Struthio camelus: one gene and its partner. The protein of the gene in region 1 interacts with the protein of each later gene in a biochemical or structural test. Links are inferred from orthologs where the notes say so. Each region holds a gene or a part of one and is shown on either strand. Other genes may lie near its edges.

Region 1 (9,640 bases):
CTACATCCAATCTCTGAAAGATATTGTGAATGCCTCCAGGGTTAGTAGCATTTCTCATTATTTGGGGGAGTAGGTAAAGTTGCATTTAATCGTATAATCTAGGAATAGTGCTAGAGGTTGTAAACTTGAGGAAAACTGTTATTTAGACTGCACTCTATGACTGTCAATGGAAGCCTCTGTCTGTACATAGATAAAAATAGAAGATAAAAAAGATTTTGAAAAAATATAAAAATGTAAGATAAACAATGTTTTTGCCACCTTCAGCCTTTAGCTTCCAGTATGCCAACTCCACCTCAGCTTTTCTAATAGAACGCCTCTGCTTAACGATGCTGACCTGTACTATGTTTGACCAAGTAGACACAAAACACAGCAGGCACAAGTCTTCTTAAAACAGGCATTTTGCAGATGAGACATTTCATACATACATCTCCTGTATTTGTTAGTTCACAATCTATTTTTATCCTATCAAGATCATAATTTAGGCCTTTTATACTGCTTCACTCCAATCGATGCGTACAACAATGATGATGAAATGGATGTGTGTATCAATGATGAAACCTCCCCAAGTTTTATCAGTTTTATGCATTCCAGATTTCCTACTTCTTCTACAGAAGAGTTCTTGTTTTTTCTACTGCAGAGATGGAACCGGAATTTGAATGGCAATTCAAACCGGAAGTGCCAACACACTGCAGCAATGATGGAACGTGCGTTTAGCAGGTACCACTCAACACTTGAGACTAAGACAAGGTGCAACAAGCAGGTATCATGTATTTATACGAAGCTGATAAATTAATTTGTTCCATTGCCTTTATCCTGTTTCTGTAAAACTTCGTGTTCAGTAAAGGATATAGTTAAAATTAAGATGTTGTTTTCAGACTATTCCATGGCAAAAGCACTTTATTGGTATAATAAAACAACCGCTACCCTCTCGCAAAGCAAACCATATCAATAAAAGCAGAGCTTTGCCATTATTTGCCAGTTACCCTCAGGGCAGCGGCACGGATGTAAAGCTGTGATCCAGCATAATATAATCTTTCTGGGACTGGCTATATACCTGACAACTATTTCAGTTTGAAGAGAGTGTTATAGCGTATTCCAGCAGTAGATAGTCTCATATATAATACATGAATACTCATGTACTTTAATTCCCAAGTCAAAACTCAAGTTTGTCAGTTATACTTTAAGTAGGGGATACTTATATTCTGAATGTATAACATACTTCAGATTAAATTTACACATTCTAATACAATTTATTATATCTGATAAATTAGACTTTCAAAGAATTTTATTTTGCTTGAAATGCCAGTCCATAAAGAGTCAAAAAGACTGAATATACCTCCACCAGTACATTTGGGGTGTCATCTTTTGCACGAGACAATGAATTCTAGCCCTGACGGATAATACTGAAAGTCAGACTAAATCAGCTATTTGTGATTACAATGTTGTGAGGTCCTGGTCTCTCTTTAGCCTGTTCTGGTTTAGCGCCAACAACGTACTACAAGGAAGCACAGAGTTTCAAGGTCTGATCTGTGACCTTACTACTGGAAGACAGGGGATCCCAGCTCACCAGTGACAGAGTGCAATTCTCTTGGCCTTACCGGTTGGCAAGATTAGACTCTAAATTCACAACAACCTCATTACAAAATTGGTCCTCCTATTTTTGGATTCTAGCCTCAATCCCGGTGAATATTTGTATCAGAAAGCATACTTTGGAATAAAGCAGCTTGCAAGTAATGGTTTCAATCTATCAACATATCATCATTTTGACTTTGCAGGCTAACAAATACAAAATCAACACTGTAAACCGCATGTGAATTTAGAAGCATGTCTTGTAGCATGGTGTGATTAAATCAATTAAAAATAGCAACTTCAAAAACGAAAAAAAAATCCATCCCACTAATCCTAAATGCTGGCACTGGGTAAAGGAAGAAGCGTGCTAGTACACACTGCTGTGGATCATAAGGACCAACACAGAACAAGAGACTGCACACAACAGACAGGCCAAAATGCTGAAGGCAAAGAGATGACGTATTGATTCAAAAGTTATCCCGAATCATTTTACGGTTTCAACCATCAGATTACTACGTGAGGGTTTGCTTTGGCTTACATTTGACAATAAATTCTTACCTGCAGAAGCCTGAAGGCATTTCATAAGCATAACTTGACAAAGCATACCAGGGAGTATCCTAGCTGTGTTTCAACTCAAGTGATATCATCCACTAATAGAGGGAACAAGTTCTGATGTCAGATTCAAAAGGAATTGTTTTGGAATTCTTGTGAGAGTGCAGCTGTAATACGAAGACAATTCTTTTAGCTAATAATAGTCCAGAGGAGAGTTTATATTTTTAGGGATAATGTAATTATCCTTTAACATTAATACACTACCTCACTTTGACTCAGTTCGACTAAAAGATGCCTATAAACACTACCCCAAAGACACGAAATCAGAGTAAAAGGCGATGAGCTGTACGCACCGCATATAAAAGGCGTTTGATGCACCGAAGTTTAGTTCACCGATTTCAAGACACTATGGCTTTCTGCCATCTTGGCAGACTATGAGATGACCAAGAAGCTCCTCTCAGTTCTTGAAATATTTAAACGTTCAAGATAGCTTATGCGTAGGTACAGATCAACAGCGATGTCACGGTGAAGCCGCCGTGCTTTCATCACGTTTGTAATTACAGCCCAGTGATTTACAAACTGGAAGCGCTCTCACTAAACCTGCACAGTCCACAACTGGCACCAAGGAGAACCGTCAGGTTGCCCATGCACAACCTCATGTCTGTAACCTTCTCCCCTGCAAGAGGTTTAAACTTTCATCACCTCGACATTTTTTCCGAGTTAGCTGTGAAGTTACTCCACCCGGCCCGATTGTGCAACAACAAACCCTCGCAGCACATCACACAAAACACTTCCGCCCCTCGCCAAGGCAGGGCCGAGGCGAAAAAGCGGCTCCTCGGGGGCGCGAGGGGAGAGCGGGCTGCGAGGGGGAAGCGGGGCTGGAACAATATCGCTCGGCGGCAGCTGCACGGGAGTTGACGGGAGTGCAGACGTGTGTGTGTCATGTTATTGCAGAAAGCGAGAGATCCCGGAAAGAGCCTGAACTAGGCAAACCCGCCGCCATCTTACAATGCGGGAAAGAAGTTACACGCCGGGGGAGAAACACCAGCCCGAGAGGCCCACTCCCTGCCCCGGGGAGGGCCGCAATCGGCCACAGAGCCCCTCCGCGACACAAATACGGCCCCGATCCGGGCGAACGACGGCGGAGGGGCAGCGGCGCCGGCACCGCGGCCGCGCCGGGCTGGCTCCGGGCGGCGCTGACATTTGAGCGTCCCGGAGCAGCCTCTCGCCGCCGAGGAAGCGGCGGCGCCGCCCGGGCCCCGGCCCCAACCGACCCCCCGCGCAAGGCCGCCGGCCACCTCCGAGGGGAGCGCCAGGGCCGGGAGGAAGGGCCGCGGAGAGCGGCCTCCCCTCCGCGCCAGCACCGCGGCCTCGCCGGAAGGAGACGGCCGCTGCCCGGCCCGCAACGGCGGCCCCGCGGCCCTCCCGCCCCTGCGGGCCGCGCATCCGTGCCCCGCTCCGCCGGGGAGGGGGGGAGGAAGAAAAACCAAAGCGGCGGGGAGGGAAGAGGGGAGAAACGCGGCGCGGCGCTCACCTTGTTGATGCGTTTCAGCGCCATTGTGTGCGAGTGCCGCCGGGCCCGTCTGTGCGCCGCGGTGACTCCGCGCTCCGCTCGCGCCGAGGGGGGGCCGGGAGGGAGGGAGCGAGAGAGGAGGAGGAGGGGGAGGAAGGCGGAGAAGGGGGGTGGGGGCAGCTGCGCTTCTCCTTCCTCCGGAAACAGCCGAGGGGGGCGCCCGACCGGAGCGCGGCGGCCGCGCGGAGCCTGACTGCGGGCAGACGGCGGCCGGTGGCCGGTAGAGGCTGACGGGAGCGCGCCGCGCCGCGCCCGCGCCCGCGCCGCCGGGGGGGAGGGAGAGAGGGAGGGAGCCGAGCCGAGGCAAACGCCAGCGCCACCGAGAGCGCCAGAGCCCAGCCCCGCGCGCACCCGCCCCGAGAGGCGGAGGCCGGGGGCGGCGCTCGCAGCCGGGCGGGGCGGGGCGGGGCGGGGCGGGGCGGGGCGCTGCCCCCCCACCCAGGGCCAGGGAGCGGAACGGGGGTAGGGGGCGCGCTAACGGCCTCCGCGACCGGGCAGCCCCCCCGCGCATGCGCTCTGAGCGCTTTGTCCCCCTCCCCGCGGTGTCCCCCCCTCCCCGCGGGATCTCGCGAGAGGCACGCATGCGCCCCGCCGCCGGACCCGGGGGGAGGGGGGAAGGATCTGGAACTCCCCACGGCAGCGCCTTCCCGGTGCCGCTTTATGGCGTCCCCCCACCGCGGAGGGTGGCCCTGGGGTTTCGTTAAGGCACCTCGGCCGCGGGCCCAGGCGCCTCGGCGGCTGCTGGGCGCTGCGGCGCGCACCGCTTACGACAAGTCCCCGCCCCGTGGCTGCGCGCGTGCACAAGATGGCGGCCGCGGCCGGACCTACATCGTTGGGCGGCGGCGGGGGCGGCTCGGATTCCTCCGCGCTGCCGCTCGCCTCGACGTCGCTCGCCGCCCGCTGCCGCGAGCAGGGCCGCGGGGGCGGCGGGGAGGCTGCGGGCGCCGAGGCATCCCCCGCCGGGGCTTCTCCCAGGGAGCGGCCCCGGGAGCTGCCGCTGCTCACCCTGCGGGCGGCGGTTGCGCACGTTGCGGGGCGCGCGGCGGCCGTTGGCGGCCGTTGGCCCCCCCGCCCAGTGGGAGGCTTCGTTCCGCCCGCGGCTCTGCGTCGGGGGCCGCTCGCCCACCCACCTGCCCTGCCGCCCTCTGTCCCCTCGCGTGTGCCCGGGCCTGTGCTCGGCTGCAGGTCGGCCACGTGGCAAAATAAAGCTCGCTTGTCCCGAGCTGTCCTGGTGTTCTGGGCTCTGGTGCCAGTTGCCGCACCAGCTTGAAGGTGCGGTGGGCAGCCCACCGCCCACCTGCCTCGAGGGGCTGTAGGTAGCTCCTTGAAGTGGCACAAGGAGGGTGCCTTGGAGGAAAAGCGGGGCCTAAAGCAAAGGGAAAAGGCTAACAAAAGAGCCAAAAGCCTGTGATGGCCCAGGAGAGAAACGCGTCAACAAGGAACGCAGGCCTGGTGCGAGAGGCTGTAAGGGTGTTTGAAGCGTTGCTTTTAGCAGCGTGCACATACGTTCTCAGTATATTGAAAAAACAATACTAAAAGATTCGGTTACACACGCTGTCAGCACAAGGACTGGGGGCATCAAATACTTTAGCTATCATGACGAGATCAGTGGCATATTCAGCCCAGCAGAGATGCCTGAGCTGCTCATGTAGTTGCTGCTTTGATGTTGGCCTACTTGGTCACCGTAAAGCAGCGATACCTTCTGCTGGGCTTCCAGCTCCGAGGAGGCTTTCTGTTCTGTGTAGCAGGGGTCAAGAACCCACACTCGGCACGGCCCTTTCTTTATTGTACTAAACAAGAAAACTTTGCAGATGTATGTAGTGAAATCTGTGATGAAAGACTCCTACTTGTGAAGTAACAAGCAGAAATAAGATTGCTAGACTGACTTTCTGCTGTAATGCAGGGATATATAGAATTATTAAACATGATGGTTGCTGTCCAGGGAGTATAAATACATAATTAGCTAAATTGATTGCACTGAATTCAGTTTGTGTTCATTATATTGCCTTCATTGCTCTACTGTTAGTTTTCTTGCTATCTAGGATGCTAATTATCAGTGGATTGGCGCATCTTCAAAAAAAGGGTGTAAAAAAGTTTGCAGTATGAAATTTGAGAATAACCAGCAGGGAATCGGGAGAGCAATAATCCGTTTTATTTTCAGAATCGTACTGTAGTAGGACTGTCACAGTTCTTTAGTATCCATATTATGTGTAGGCTAGAGAGAAAATAATGTCTTATTCCTATAAAGTGCAGCTATCTTTCTGTGATTACCTGATCCACTCCTAACAATTTCTTTGGGTAGTCTTCATCTTCTGCTTACTACTTTAAAAGTACTGAACACTGTATTCAAGAAAAGTAGCTCTGAACTGTTTCATTAATGTTCTTACCATCTTCATAGAGAATTGTGCTGAAAAACACCTTATTGCTCCTTCCTTAATTTGGATTAGGGATACTGTTAAGCTCCTCCATATCACAAGCATATGTTTCTGTCACAAGTATATCTTTCTCAGTCTTTGAAACTGCTTACAAACTTCACGAGTTTTTTCATTAGCTTGTCATCTCAGTAGATTTAAGTACTTAATAGTATTTTAGTTCTACATTTGTAATTATTATTTTAGACTAATAACCTCTAATACTACTCTCTATTAAGAGTTTTGATCTGGCTTCTGATTAGCATTTTATTGTATAATGAAAGGAATGAAGAACTGCACAAACATACTGTTGACAATGTGTAATTTTCCATGCTCATTTAAGCCAACAGAAATTGTTCATCTGGTAAATCAAGTTTGTCTGTGTGCGTGTCAACAGTTACATGTTAAAATGAATATCTCTATTAGCATTTGACCCCGAGGAGAATTTAAAAGGTATTGAGTATGTAGCCATTGCTGGGAAATAGATTTGCATATTTTGTATACCAGATTTAGCATACCTCTTTGGACGAACACTTGATAGTTCATTGTGCTCATTGGTTATTTTTATTAAACAAATACCTCTATTTAAATACTTACTTTTAAGTTCACTTGAGACAAAAAATTAAAAATAGTGACCTACGTAGCTATGAAAAACAAGAAGCATGCAGTTCTGTGGCCATTTCTACAAGATACAGCAAACGTAGTCCTGTTGCGGATCATTATACTTCTCTCCCTCATCTCATTTTCCTCAAATTGTTAACATAAAAATCATATTTTTTCCTTCAACTTTTGGAAATAAATAATTGTTGACTTCAGCAGGAATGCTCATATAAAGTAAGGTTTTGTATCCTTAATATATTTACCTGCCATACATAGTTTCTTACCTTTAACATACACAGTAAGTGTAATATAGTGCTACTTACATTGATACTTCATCCGATAATATAAAATGTGAGAGACAAAGATGATGGGTTGCTGAACATGGGTGCTGCAACTTCCCATTGAACTACTCAGTGTATTTGGGTTTGCTTCATTTTAATTTGATTTTTGAAGCTAATCCTCAGAAGTGGTTGAATAGAGCTATTATTCATGTCTAATCCTCATACACTAGTGGAGTTGGGTTAGATCTTCTTTATTACGCAAAATTGTTCAGTACGTACATAGGAATAAACAGTTTGCAAAAAGTATTGAGAACAGACTAGCTGACTTGAATTCTATTTTTGAGCTCTGTATGCTTGCTTTTTTAAGCATGGCATTACAGAGCTCTGTGTGGTCAATAACCTCTAAAGGCTGAATTTACCAGTCTCTTTCAGCTCTTTATGACTGTCCAGCAGTGCAAGCAAGAACGGAGATTGCCTTGATATGCTGTTATAGCACCTTCCTCTCAGGACAGAGGAGACTCGAGGGAGAAGCAGCCCAGCCTTAGTTTAAAGCTTAGTCTAGCTTGCTGCATGTCAATATAAAATTTTCACTTTCCCTTGCCTGAGACCTGCCTTTATTTACACTTTGTGCACGCTATTCTACCTGTCTTCAAAACAGGTAGAGCAACCTAGCACCTTGGACCCCAGGCAGCATCCTCTATATAACAAGTCAGTATGTCAGAGAGGAAAGGGAGAAACAAGCTGCAAAGCATCTCCAAAAAGCTCTTGCTTTTTAGGGAAAAAAAATTACTTCAACAAAACCAAGACACCCTTCTCATGAGTCCATCCAGTAGATGATTATTAGCTCCTGTTTGGAGGACACAAAAGACAACAGCTTCTGCCACTGGAAAACAAAGAGCTAAGAGCCTGAAGAAACAACAACAGCTTCTGTTTGGTACACACATTATAGAACATTGCAGCTGACTAGGCCTCAATTTTCCCTTCAGCATCTGGCCCAACTTGTTTTTCTTCAATCATTGTATATCAAACTTGCAGTCAAATCCATCTTTCATCTGAGAAAAACTCAGCTTATTATGGACCCATTTGATTCAATGGAAACCGTAAAGAGTGAGCTCACAGAGAAAAGCTGATAAAACAAAGTGGTTCCATTGATTTTGTTTTAAACGCAACACAATGCTGCATTTGCCAATCTATGTGTCATTACATGACACTACAAAAAAACAGGTTTTATGATGTCATTGGGTTTCATCTGATCCATGTTTTAATTTCAAAAGATTGGCAGCACTTTCTGTGTAGGTGGGTGCTTCTCCCCTTCAAGGACATAGCAGCATCCTACCACCCTTAGCACTGCATGCTCAGTTCCCTGGCCTTTACCTCTGGAACCATTACTTCTCTTTTTAGTAGGAAGAAGAGGTAGGAGAACCCTTCCTCATCCGGAGTCTGGCCCAAGGCCAGTGTATGCAGCAGTTAGCTTTTTAAGGAATATAAGATTAAAAAGTTAGCTTTTTATCTTCTATTCCAGTTTGGCAATCCTTCGTCTCCCCCTTTTTTTCTTCTGCTCACCAGAGCAATTTCCCAGCTATTCCACATGCCATCTTTCTAAAGTAGTGCTTTCTATCTCACTGTTAGGTCATGGGGCGAAATACTGAGTCCCTTAATCCATTTTAAGTCATTGCTGCTAATTACAGGGAGTTGTAAGATCTAATATTTAGCCCACATACAAGTCCCAATGAAAATCTTGAGCACTTTGTTGAATAATGGCCTGCTAAGGTTTCATAGTTTACACAAGGTCGTATGGACATCTGCAAGAATTCAAAATACTTCAGTAGCCTAGATCAAAAGGAACAGACCAAAATTCTCCACAAAATCTTCTGGCCTTCAGGATTTTGTTTAGCAGTTCATTAAAATGGTTTCAAACCATTAAGACACTTTTTTAGGCTTGTGTTGACAACAGTTTTCTTTCAGTTGGAGAAGATTCTTCTCTTCCCTTGAAATCCTTAGGGAAAATAAAAGCTATTTTAGAAGAAGAAAATTGGTGACTTCATTATGCTGCTTTCACAGACCTTAACAACTGAATCTTTGAAAAATGCTACAGGACATTTATTAGTATTCATACACAGTATTCATTTTTTTCCAGCAAAACTACCATTTGATCTAAATGAAAGAGATACTCCTTTCATGTCAGCATCAGTTTGTGCCACCAAGAATGGTTGTCTTCTGTACTGATTCAGCTCTATGGATACTGAAGCATGAAACCTCATAGATGAGCAGAGTGTAATTACGATACCTGTTTTGAAAAAAGAAAAGGTTTGTTGTCACACAACTACTAACTCAAATTCTTTACATCTGTGAATAAACATAGATTATATATTTGGCAAAACAGCAACTTAAAATAGGGGCGTGAAGGACTGAGAAATTAGGCATAGTTGATAAAATAAGTCAATATATGCTGAATTCAGCAGACGAACTCCCTGTCTGCAGCACAATTTTATCAATTTCAGTACACCAGTTTACAGCACCTGAAGATTTGGTCAAAAGGTTCAGTGACGACCTACTCTACCCCACACCTTTCGAGTTGGTCGTTTTTCCATGATATACCTGTTTTTTGACCCCTCCGGCTGCTTTCAGACTGAATGCTAAGTCTGTAGGAGTTA
Region 2 (10,401 bases), on another chromosome or scaffold:
TCAATTTGCTCAACTTGCACCATTTTACCACAAACACAGTGCACAGTCCAGACTTACGTACAGAGCAGAGCAAAGTCAAGGAGCGATAACTCTCTTGGAGAACATGAAGCATTTAGGATGATAGTATTTCATGCTATATTAGTTCATGAAATGATTGAACATTTATCACCGATAGCAGCAGACGAAAATTTTTCAGATGACTTCAGTGAGAGATACATTACTCAAAATATTTTTATATAGCTCACTTCCACGTAGCATTCAGTGTCGCTATTTTTGGAAGGAGTTCCTAAGGAAAAAAATGCAACATTAACATGCCTACCCATTTGCCCCAACACCTTTTTAAAAGGGTTAAGATTCTCCTCTCATCATTCAAGTGACCTCCCCTTTCTTCACACATCAATCTAAAATTAAGAGCTGCAATCACATTAAGATTTTGGCTCTACTAATCCACTCAGACTGGTTAGGGCATTTGCTACGATCAAAGAGACAGCTGCAACAAGCTTGATGGTGTGGGTGTGGTGTTTAGTCCTTCATCTTAGATGCTGGCCTTCTTTTACTTCTGTAGGTATTACTAGAAGCCTTTTATCGACTACCTCGTACAATCCACTGTTAGGGGTAGCACATCACACAAGCAAATGTTAACGTGAGAAAGAAGCTGGGTCAACTTTGGCATATTTCTTAGGAAATAAAAATGTGCGCACATATTCAAGGCATGTAATTATACCCAGAGGAATCCAATTAGGGTATAATTATATGACTACAGTAAGGCAACTTTCTAATTGCTGTATAACTCTTAAAAAGAACTAGTTCACAAACTGACTTCAGGTAACCTCCACATTTCATTAAATTGTTATTTATTTAATGAGCCAGTCTTGAGAAGTTTACTAAAGAGGATAAAAGACACTTGCCGTTATACACACACCCCATCCTGAACTCTGACTCCTTTAAAGTTCAGTGGGTAAGAGCTGTGTTCTATACCCAGTAATTAGTTTTCTGTCTGCTTTAGAAAAGCACGTAGTATGAGAAGTTACGCTATCTGAAGCGGTCTGCAAGAACCCCTTCCTCATGCACAATCACTAAATCCGTAAGTTCTCTCATGTCCTGCTGTTGAAAGCCTTCATTCAACACACAACAGACTAGGGAGAACCCCACTGGTCAGGAGCAACATCCAAGAAATTAAACTTGGTGCTACTGACTGGGCAACAACTGCTCCCAAACTCACGCTTAAGTGTTTTAGCTAGTCTCTATGCACCCCTGAAAGTCGCTCAGGATGCTGACCAGGAGAAGTCACGTCAGCTTCTTCCTTCCTCACAAATTTAAGATTTTGGAAGTGGTGAACTTCCTTAAGACAGACCTCAAATCATTTTGAGGTGATAGGAAAAAGTCATGCTTTTACTAGGCCAAGATGGCATGAAACCACTGCTTGCCAGTTCAGTCACCCATCAGATTTTCAGTAAACAAGCAGACCCAAGACATTTTTTTCTCTTTTCTATTACTTTGGAAACTAGAGTGACAGGAAAAAACAACAATAAAAACCGGAAACTTTCATATTTAAGAAGCAAACTTCTAAATGAAAATGTAATGTTATCTACAGACCTAAAAAAGAGCAAGAAACTTTCTCTGTAAATAAAAGCTTAGCTCTATTTAAATAAGCTAGCCCCTTCTCCTCTAAAAAACCCAAAATGCACATATTGGTAAAGTGAAACAAAACTAGCTTCTTGCTTGCCAAAGACAGTTATTTAAATCCTATAGCAAATGATAGACGACTTCATAAAATCAGCAACATCGTACAGATGATTCTGCAGTAGTTATCACAAATTCATCGCTTTTCCCCATAGTTTGAAAACTCAATAGCGGCACCATTATTTCAGAAAAGTAAAGAAGCTGCTGCAAATAACCACTTCAAATTTTCAGCAAGCTCCCTAACTCACATGTCAAGGGGGCAGGGGGCACAGCAGGGGAAGAATATCACAGAATACTGCCCTCCTCCTTACAAGTCACCACAAGCCACACAAATACTGTGGAAGGAAAGAAAAAACATGGTTGTTTTCTAAAAGGGAAATCATCCTCCTATCTGAAAATCTGTTACTGTCGATATACTATCAGCTCAAGCTCCTGAGCCTATCAGATTTTTTTTTTTTTTTATCTGTCACTGGGCATTTGATAGCACAACAGATAAACCACCTCACTGTTTCCTATTCATGGCCAGTCACTTTTTTGTATCTGCGGAAACTTAGTCAAAGAAAATCTTCAGGAATTACTGATGAGATGAGATTTTAAGGAGCCTGTGATCTGCTAATTAAAAACCTTATATACGCATTTGGAACTGAATCACAAAAAAAAAAAAATCAAAGTGCAGAACAGTCAACTGTTTTGGTATGAAATTGCCATGTATTTATTCCAAATGAATTCCTCCTGCTATGCTGCAACGGGAACACTGATTCTGAATTTTGATCATATATTATATTTCAATATATCTAATAGATTCCACTCAGAAATAAAATGATATTGTATCAAAATTCCTGTATGAAAACCAAGCAGAAATAGGTTTGTCTCAATTGATCGATGCTTCAGGAACAGAAGGCAAGTACAAGAACAGCTTTAGACTCAATTAACATGCGGGGGGGGGGCAGAAATCAATTCTAATAAAAAGACGTTTTCCCCACCAATTACAGGAGTTCATTGTTTAATAGTCTTTAAAAATACTGCAGTTCCATCTCTCTAAGTAAATGACAATTCAATTACATCTAAATTGATGCAGAATATTTTTAGGGAAACAAAAAGAACACAACTTTTTCTTTCACTTAGCACAAATTCTGCATTACAGCAATTTAAACTGGTGCTTTAATTCAGCTGGAAAGGAACCACAATATTAACCATACAAGACAATAAAGCAAGTTTCTGCAAAAGTTCAGTATTTAAGATTACTCGAAACAACTGAATCAAAATTCAGACTTCACTACATACTCAATACTATTACAACAGTTCGTTTTTGATAAAACTAGTCCTGAAAGTGTCTCTAAAAACACAATTAGTTAGTCCACTGAGAACACAGGGAGCAGCTAACAATGCAGAAGGACTGTATTTTTAGTATTACAAATCTGACGATCAAGACAGTTTAAAGCTCTACTCCCTACTCCTGCTTGTAATTCTTCTATGTATACTTGCATACTACAAATACCAATAACAAATCCTACAGTATTTCTAGTCCATATAACACAAGGGTTATCCTGAGACACACACGCACAAACTTTTATCGGGTTTTATTTTAATTGTGAAATTCCACGTTTTCGACCATTCTGATGCGCACTGCTACTCTGTTTGTATGAAAACTCTTATTTACAAAATATTTTGTAATAATTCTTCAGTGGTGGCAATATGTATTGCAGCAAGAGCTGGACCTATTTTCATGTCCCATTTAAACACTCTAAAAGGATGCAATCAAATACGAGAGCCCAGACCATCAAGCACAAAGAAACAAAAGCACTTCCATTAAAAACCACTGCATACCTCTTTTTATGTGCTTCCTACTGTACTCCTAAGAATATTCATATGATTTCTATTCTAGTTTCACAAAGCTCATTACGGTAATGAAAGTAACCCGGCTAGAGCAAAGACATTTTGCAAGAAGAGTGAGAACACATGCCACAGATTTATTTAAAACACCACACATGGCTCTTCTGGTCGAGGGATTCTGCAACACGTAAAGTTAGAGCGCGCGTTCCTGACCTATTTTGTTACTGAACAAAATGAAACCCGGGAATTGAGGCCCTGATGCTGCACACATCAAGCACTTCATTTTACACAGATTTAAGACTGTCATCTCCCTGAGGGCAAAGTTAAGGCCAAAAAGCGTCCGCCGGACGAGGCCCCCCGCTCGCCGCCAGAGCCCGGCGAAGCGGCGGCTTAGGGGACACGGCGGGGACTTACAGCACGGGCAGCAGGTGGGGCGAGCCCGGCGGCGCCCAGCGGGGCCACCTCCCGGCTCCTCGCAGCGCGCCGCCGTCTGCCGCGCGGAGGCGGATCCGCGCGGTGTCCCGGCCGGCCGCCGCCGCCGCCGCAAGGCCCGGCTCGGGCAGGGCGGACGAGGCCGCTCTGGACACCCTGCGCCACCGCGGCCCAAAACACCCCTCACGTGACGCGCCGGCGGCGGGCGGGGGCAGGCGGCGGACGCTGCTCCTGCTCTCGCCCAAACAATAACACAGGCCCGGGCCCGGGCGTGCCCGCCGCCCCTCCCCCGCGGGCGGGGCCGGCTCCTCAGCGCCGCCGGGTCCCCCCCTCCCCGGCCCCGCGCCGCCGCCGCGCTCTCGGGCCTTTTGTCCAGCGGCGGCGCCCGCCCGCCGACGGAAGCGGGCAGGCCGCGACGTCCGCCCCCCGCCCGCCCTTTCCCTCGCCGGAGCGGGGAGAGCCGCCGGCGGAGGAGGGAGCAGCGCCGCCCCCCGCCCCGGGCGGTCGGCCGCGGGGCGAGGGGGGCTGGCGGAGCGACCGTTGCTCCCCCTCCCTCCGCGCTCGCGGCCGTTGGCGTCGGAACGCGGCGGCGCCGCCACGGACTCACCCGCCGGGCCGGCTCGCGCCGCTCAGCCCGCTCCCAGGCGCCGCCGCCGTCACCTGCCGCCTCCTCCGGCCCCCGCCGCCGGGCGAGCGGGACGCGCCGACGTCACGCGCGGGGGGGGGGGGGAGAGAGGGAAGCGCCGAACGCGCCACTGTGACGCCGCGGGGGGAGGGGCCGCGCCGCGCGCCCCGGTGAGGCGGGGGGGGGGGGACGCGCGGCGCGCTCCCGTGACGCCACGCCGTGGCGCCGCCCCGCCCCCGCGGCGGTGCCATGGCAGCGGCGGCCGCGCCGCCCCCGGCCTGGGCAGGGGCCGCGCCCGGTGGGCCCGGCGGGGCAGGTGCGGGCCCGGTGCGCTCGGCAGGCCCGAGGGTCGCGGCTGGGGCGCGGCAGCGGGGGAGACGCGGGAGCGGAGGGGCTGGTGCAGGGTTGTGGGACCCGAAGGCCCCTCTGAGCGGGCGCTGTGCTCGCCGGGGAGGCCAAGGAGCCGACGGGGCAGGGGCCGGCTGGCCTTCCCCGGGCCGTGAGCTCGGCCCGTGCGGCTCGTTTGCCCAGAAATACCAGGGGTCGGGCAGCGTGGCCGAGTCACAGCCTCGAGTGGCCCAGGATTTGCGCCGCAGGCAGCGCCCTGGGCCGTGGGCCGGCTGCTCTGCGGCGAGGGTCTGCGGCAGGTAGCACGGGACCTGCTAGACGCGGGTGGGTGCTCCTCTGTGGCCTGGCCCGGGCCTAAGTGCGAGGGGCTGGCCTGCAAAAATAATCCCTCAGGAATTGTTGCCCGCAGCAAGCAACTGAACCTTGGTGAGAGGAGATAATCCACACGTCCTTTAAGTTGGAACGGTATTCGTTTTGAGGGGATCAGGGGCTGTGTGTCAAAGCAGTCGCTGCGCGCGGAGGCAGAACTGACAAAATGCGGGAACTTAGGTAGTCAGAGCTTGGTAGAACACCTGGAAGTGGTGTTTGGCTGCGGTTTTGGATGATACTTCAACTCCCAGAAGTCACAGACACCAGAGAACATAACAAAGATCAAAAATCTAAGAGTATTAAATTCTAAATTTAATCTGGAATACTAAAAAAAAGTGTATTTTTTAAACCACCAAACTCTTAGGAGTCTATAATTAGCACTGCATTTAACAGAAGTGACATAATTGTATTCAAGGACACGTTTATGTGGCAACCTGTACTGCTATTTAAGGAGGACCTTGTGAGGCTGAGTCAAATAATAGAGGTTTAAAAAAAAAGAAAATAAAACCTTTTGGCAGTGAGTTTGTTCAGCAACAATAGGCTTAATCCTTTGACTAGCCAGACCTTGATCCTGTTGAAGTTACTGAGGTCAAATTCCCATTGGTTTCAATTGGAATCTGACCTAAAAAAGGAAAGTAAGTCTGGATTCTTAAGGGATCTAAAGAGTTGAAGCAAAGCTACTCTCATTGCATTCAGGTTCATAAGAGAAGAAGCATCTCGGAAAACTGTACTTTTAAAAAAGAAAATCCATAGGTGCGTTTTGATAGGTTCATGACAGCTTACTGCAGCTGCAGGTCAATTTGAGAAAGTGCACTAATGAATGCAAAATTTTACTTTATGCTGCATGAATTATGGAGCAAGCATAGTAGTTAAAGTAAATATCACGTTGTGCCAAAGGCAGTAACCAAAGAGTTAAGTGCATTACATGCTGCTGGCCTAAAGAGATAAACAAAAGTACCTAGTTGAATAGATTGGAATAAGGGGATCAAAAATGATCTGCTTAAGATCTGTTAAGATTATCCCTCCTAAAATTTTACCTGCGCTATTATCAATTGCTATTATTGACTTCTATTTCAGTCAGAATATGTATTTTTTGCCCGTCTTTTTCTGTACTACTGCTTTTGGCATGAAAACATCCCATGTATTCCAAAGATGTTTTTCCAACCATGTATTAGTTTATACCTGTCTGTTATAACTGAAACCACCTCAGCTATATCTGTCTGCTTCTGCTTGCTTTGCAGTTCTGCACTCTCTCTTTTTTTTTTTTTTTTTTTTTTGCCGTTATCTACAATGTAATCAATCTGGAATTGATGTCTGGTGCTTGCCACTAAATTATTTATGAGTACAGTGGATGGAAAAGTAAAGGCTGAGCAGACTAATCCTTAAAAGACACCACTTCCCCTGTTAAATTTCTAAGGTTCCACCACTAATTTTTTGAAGATACTTTGACAATGGACAACTGTTGATCCATATTTCAGTGTTTCAGTGTCTCTATTTATCCAGTATTTTTCCAGCTTCTTCAAAAGTATGTGATACTGTATAGAATTGCTGATATGACAATGTGTTATAGTCACTAAGGTCTCAATCCTCACTGCACTTCCACAGTTTAGGAGAGACAGGAGAAAACAGTTTCCTTCTGCTGTGATTTGGGAGTTAGTGAGGAGAACCTCAGAACTGCTCCAAGTTGCACTAGCAGTGAAGGAGCGTATGATGTGTGGTGTCATTCCCCCCATTCCGCATTTCTGCACCTTCAACGCACCCTCTGTGCTGAACAGAGAAAGATGTAAAGTTGGCAATGTGCCACTGAGGTCCAAACGTACTTTTGGCTGTTTTGCGCTAGCAGCCAGCGGAGGGGTAGAAGACTGAGCTCCGAATCTGTCATTACATTAAAAGCGAATCCTGGTCTTGTTTAAATAACGTATTTGCTTTATGAACTGCTATTGCTTATCACTCGGTGCTTTCCTTTCCTCTAAGCTATTGCCTAACACGGAATCCCCATGTTACATTAGCATTTTCATTAAGGTGATTTTTTTTTTTTTATTTTTCGTGGCATTGAAGATTGACTAATACATGGACAATTTCTAGAATATTTTTTAATTATATATTTAGTTTTTACAGCCAGTGACACAAGCTTGTCCCTTGTCCTACAAGTTTTAAGCATGCTTACAGTACAAAGTGGCCCACAGCCAGTTCAGCTAGGCAGAGAATTCTCTTGTGTGAAGCCAATATTAGACTATCGCTGTCATTTGCTCGCCCTGGCACCTGACAGTCCTGGCCCTCTAGAGCATTCACTGGCAAATGGTGTAAAAGCAGTGCCCAAGATGCTATCAGTGAGACAAAATTACATTTGCTTTGAATTGCAATTGCAGTTCTGGTGATGTGCAAAAGGGCCTGGCAGACTTGTAGGTTGATCAACACGAGTCCAAAGTATAGTCTTGGGTTTACAAGTAGTTTTTCACTTTGACTGAAACTATGCAAATTCATGTCTGCCTCATCCATCTACACTTACAGTCTTGCTGAGTTGTAGCTAAACTGATTTCTAGTCACTATTTGTAGGTTGAAAACAAAGTGTTAAGGCGACAATCGGCCTATGAAAATCCAACTAGTGTACTTCATGTAATGTCTGTATTTTGCTTACATAACCTAGATATGTAGCAACCAGTGCCAAATACACTTCTGTGTAACAGTTTTCGGAGGTCTGTGCTGTTTAGGTCTGTGCTGAAAATCCCATTTGGCTTTACAAATAGAAAGTTGAATAGTGCTGAGGAGGAGAACTGGGAAAAGAGAAGAGGTGAGGGTGAATTGTGTTCCTCAGTTCTTTTGGTCTGTGGCTTTCATTGGATCAGTACCCTTTCTGTCTGCAAATTCCCAGGAAAAAATCTTGATGGTTTTGCTTTCATTTAGTGGCAGCAAAATTCCACATAGCATAACATTGTCTTCTGCCGTTATCCCAGCTGTCAGAATCATCTCTCTCTCTCTCTCTCTCTCTCTCTCTCTCTCTGACTTCCTCCCCATCAACAGACACTATTAACTTAATATTTAAAAAAAACATGATGCAGGATGTTCAAAATCTTGAAGTTTTAAAAAATAGTAAGGTTAGGTTTTGGGTTTCTTTAAATTTAGTCCCTGAGTTTTACATCTCTAAGATTATAATTTTGTATGTAATTCTCTAGCTATAAGGCAGAAACTTTGTTTTAACTTTAATTAAAGCTGATATTCTTATATAATCGTACATCTTCAGAAGCTGAATCCTTTCAAAAACTAATACATGTCAAGATTCTTGAGAAATGGAAAATATTAGTCATAGGAGATAGCACATATGACTACCTTTTATTTTAGTAAAAGGAATGCAAAATGCCTACTATATGTTTCATTTAAAGATTAATGAATTACAAATTATGGTTTCCTTTGGTATCACTAGATGGTATATGGTAACTGCTGGGAAGCTAAGCTCATCAAAACACTTTTGGTAGAGCACAGAGGTGCTGCTGTCTCTCCTGATCCAGCTAGGGCACTGATCAGACTCCTAGCTGACGATTAAAGCTAGTAGTTGTTGTACTCCAAGCCCTGATCCTATTGTAATCAATAGCAAAACTTGCTGAGTGGTTCTGCACTGATGTTTCCTGGGAAATTGCACACTAGTGAGGCCTGTAGCTCAGGGTGATATTTAAAAAGAGGAATTCTCTACTGAAACTCTTTAAAGCATCCACCACTTGTTGGAAAGTTAGCATAGTCCCCAAACTTTATATATCAGACCTGTGCGTGAGCTCTCAGTAGAACATACAAGTCTTTAAGGAGACAGAAAAATTGGAAGTATAGTCCTATAGTTTTTGTTATACCCACGTGAAATATCGTAATTGCTGTGCACGCAGCTTCTTTTACACTAGAGGGCATGTTATTCATTTTACAAGTAGACTTTCTGAATGCTAGAATAGCACAAATTACAACAATTTCTCCTGTAGAAAGCAAAAGGAATAAAAATAGGTAAAATAGCAAAATAAAAAATAAAGTAAGAAAATTATAGAACAGACTAGCAAAGAACAGCCAAAACAAACTTCATAAAAATGTTTTCTCCTAAAAATTGATCAATGTGAATTTTAGCATCTGAGAAAAATTCTGCTTCTGAATCCTTTAGAAGGCTGATGCAACTCAGGAAAGCTCCCTCTCTGGAGCTCTTGTTAGGACCTGGTAACATTGCAACTTTAGGAGATGAAAGTGTTCTAGCGAAGCATGTACCAGCTAACAAGCACCAAAGTGTCTTGATCTACAAGTCAAATGGTTTTGTTATTATTTTAAAAAAGAGCCAAGAGTACTTCATGCTATGCAGTGAAACAGTTCAACAACTGAAGTGAAGATATTTTCGCTTTCCAGTTAAGATAATAATGTTTTAGTCTGGAAGTTTTCAATTCAAATTTAAAACATCTCTGGATTAACATGTCCTTTAAGGTTTGCTTGTGCGAGAAGGGTCACATGAGCAAGATTTCCAGACACAATTTCACAGTTAAATCTTTTTTCTCTTGTTGCATATATATATCACACAGAAGTGTTCGTGTTGGCTACAACAGGTAACCGTGTAGTGTGGCAGCATCTCTTTGTCTCTTGAGGAAGGAATAACAATATGGTGTTAAGAAGATAACTGGGTTAAATGTTATTGCTTGAAGTCTAGCCTCTCATTCTTTGTAAATTTAGATCTCCCAGTGTGATGTCTTTGCTGGTTGATATCACAAGGAATGCAGGATTAGGTCAGGCTTGTAATGCACTTTTCAGCTATGCAATTGAAATAGCACTCACATGCAATAGTGCTTCTTAATGTTTTTTTGAATCTTTAAAAGTCGATAACATAGGCTAAATAAATGTATGTGAGAAGGAGTTTCTTTCTATGGATTCACCAGCGTTTTCTCCCTAAAGAGAGAAAATAAGAGAGAGTTGTTAGTACCACGTCTTAGAAAGAAATGTTAATTAAAAGTAAGCACACCACCTTGAATGTTATAATTGCTATTTTAATTACTCTCATCCTTAAGTTCACTCAGGATGGGACAGTAGACACCAGGATGGTATTGCAGATAGGAAACATGCAGTATCACCTGCTTTGACATCCATTTTCTGAAGTG

Evidence for each region.
Region 2: the proteins of UBE2D3 (region 1) and RNF146 are reported together in a solved structure, tested with the Homo sapiens proteins (2 studies listed by BioGRID, with this or other methods). The link is inferred for Struthio camelus from reciprocal best matches to the Homo sapiens genes UBE2D3 and RNF146.

What each region holds. Positions count from the first base shown.
Region 1 is NC_090945.1:26,886,935-26,896,574, reverse strand, and holds the start of UBE2D3 (ubiquitin-conjugating enzyme E2 D3), read right to left. Parts: upstream 4,099-9,640; 5' UTR 3,680-4,098; coding exon 3,656-3,679; intron 1-3,655. UniProt on the Homo sapiens protein: Accepts ubiquitin from the E1 complex and catalyzes its covalent attachment to other proteins. In vitro catalyzes 'Lys-11'-, as well as 'Lys-48'-linked polyubiquitination.
Region 2 is NC_090944.1:69,252,159-69,262,559, reverse strand, and holds the start of RNF146 (E3 ubiquitin-protein ligase RNF146), read right to left. Parts: upstream 4,724-10,401; 5' UTR 4,556-4,723; intron 4,133-4,555; exon of another isoform or gene 3,931-4,132; intron 1-3,930. UniProt on the Homo sapiens protein: E3 ubiquitin-protein ligase that specifically binds poly-ADP-ribosylated (PARsylated) proteins and mediates their ubiquitination and subsequent degradation. May regulate many important biological processes, such as cell survival and DNA damage response.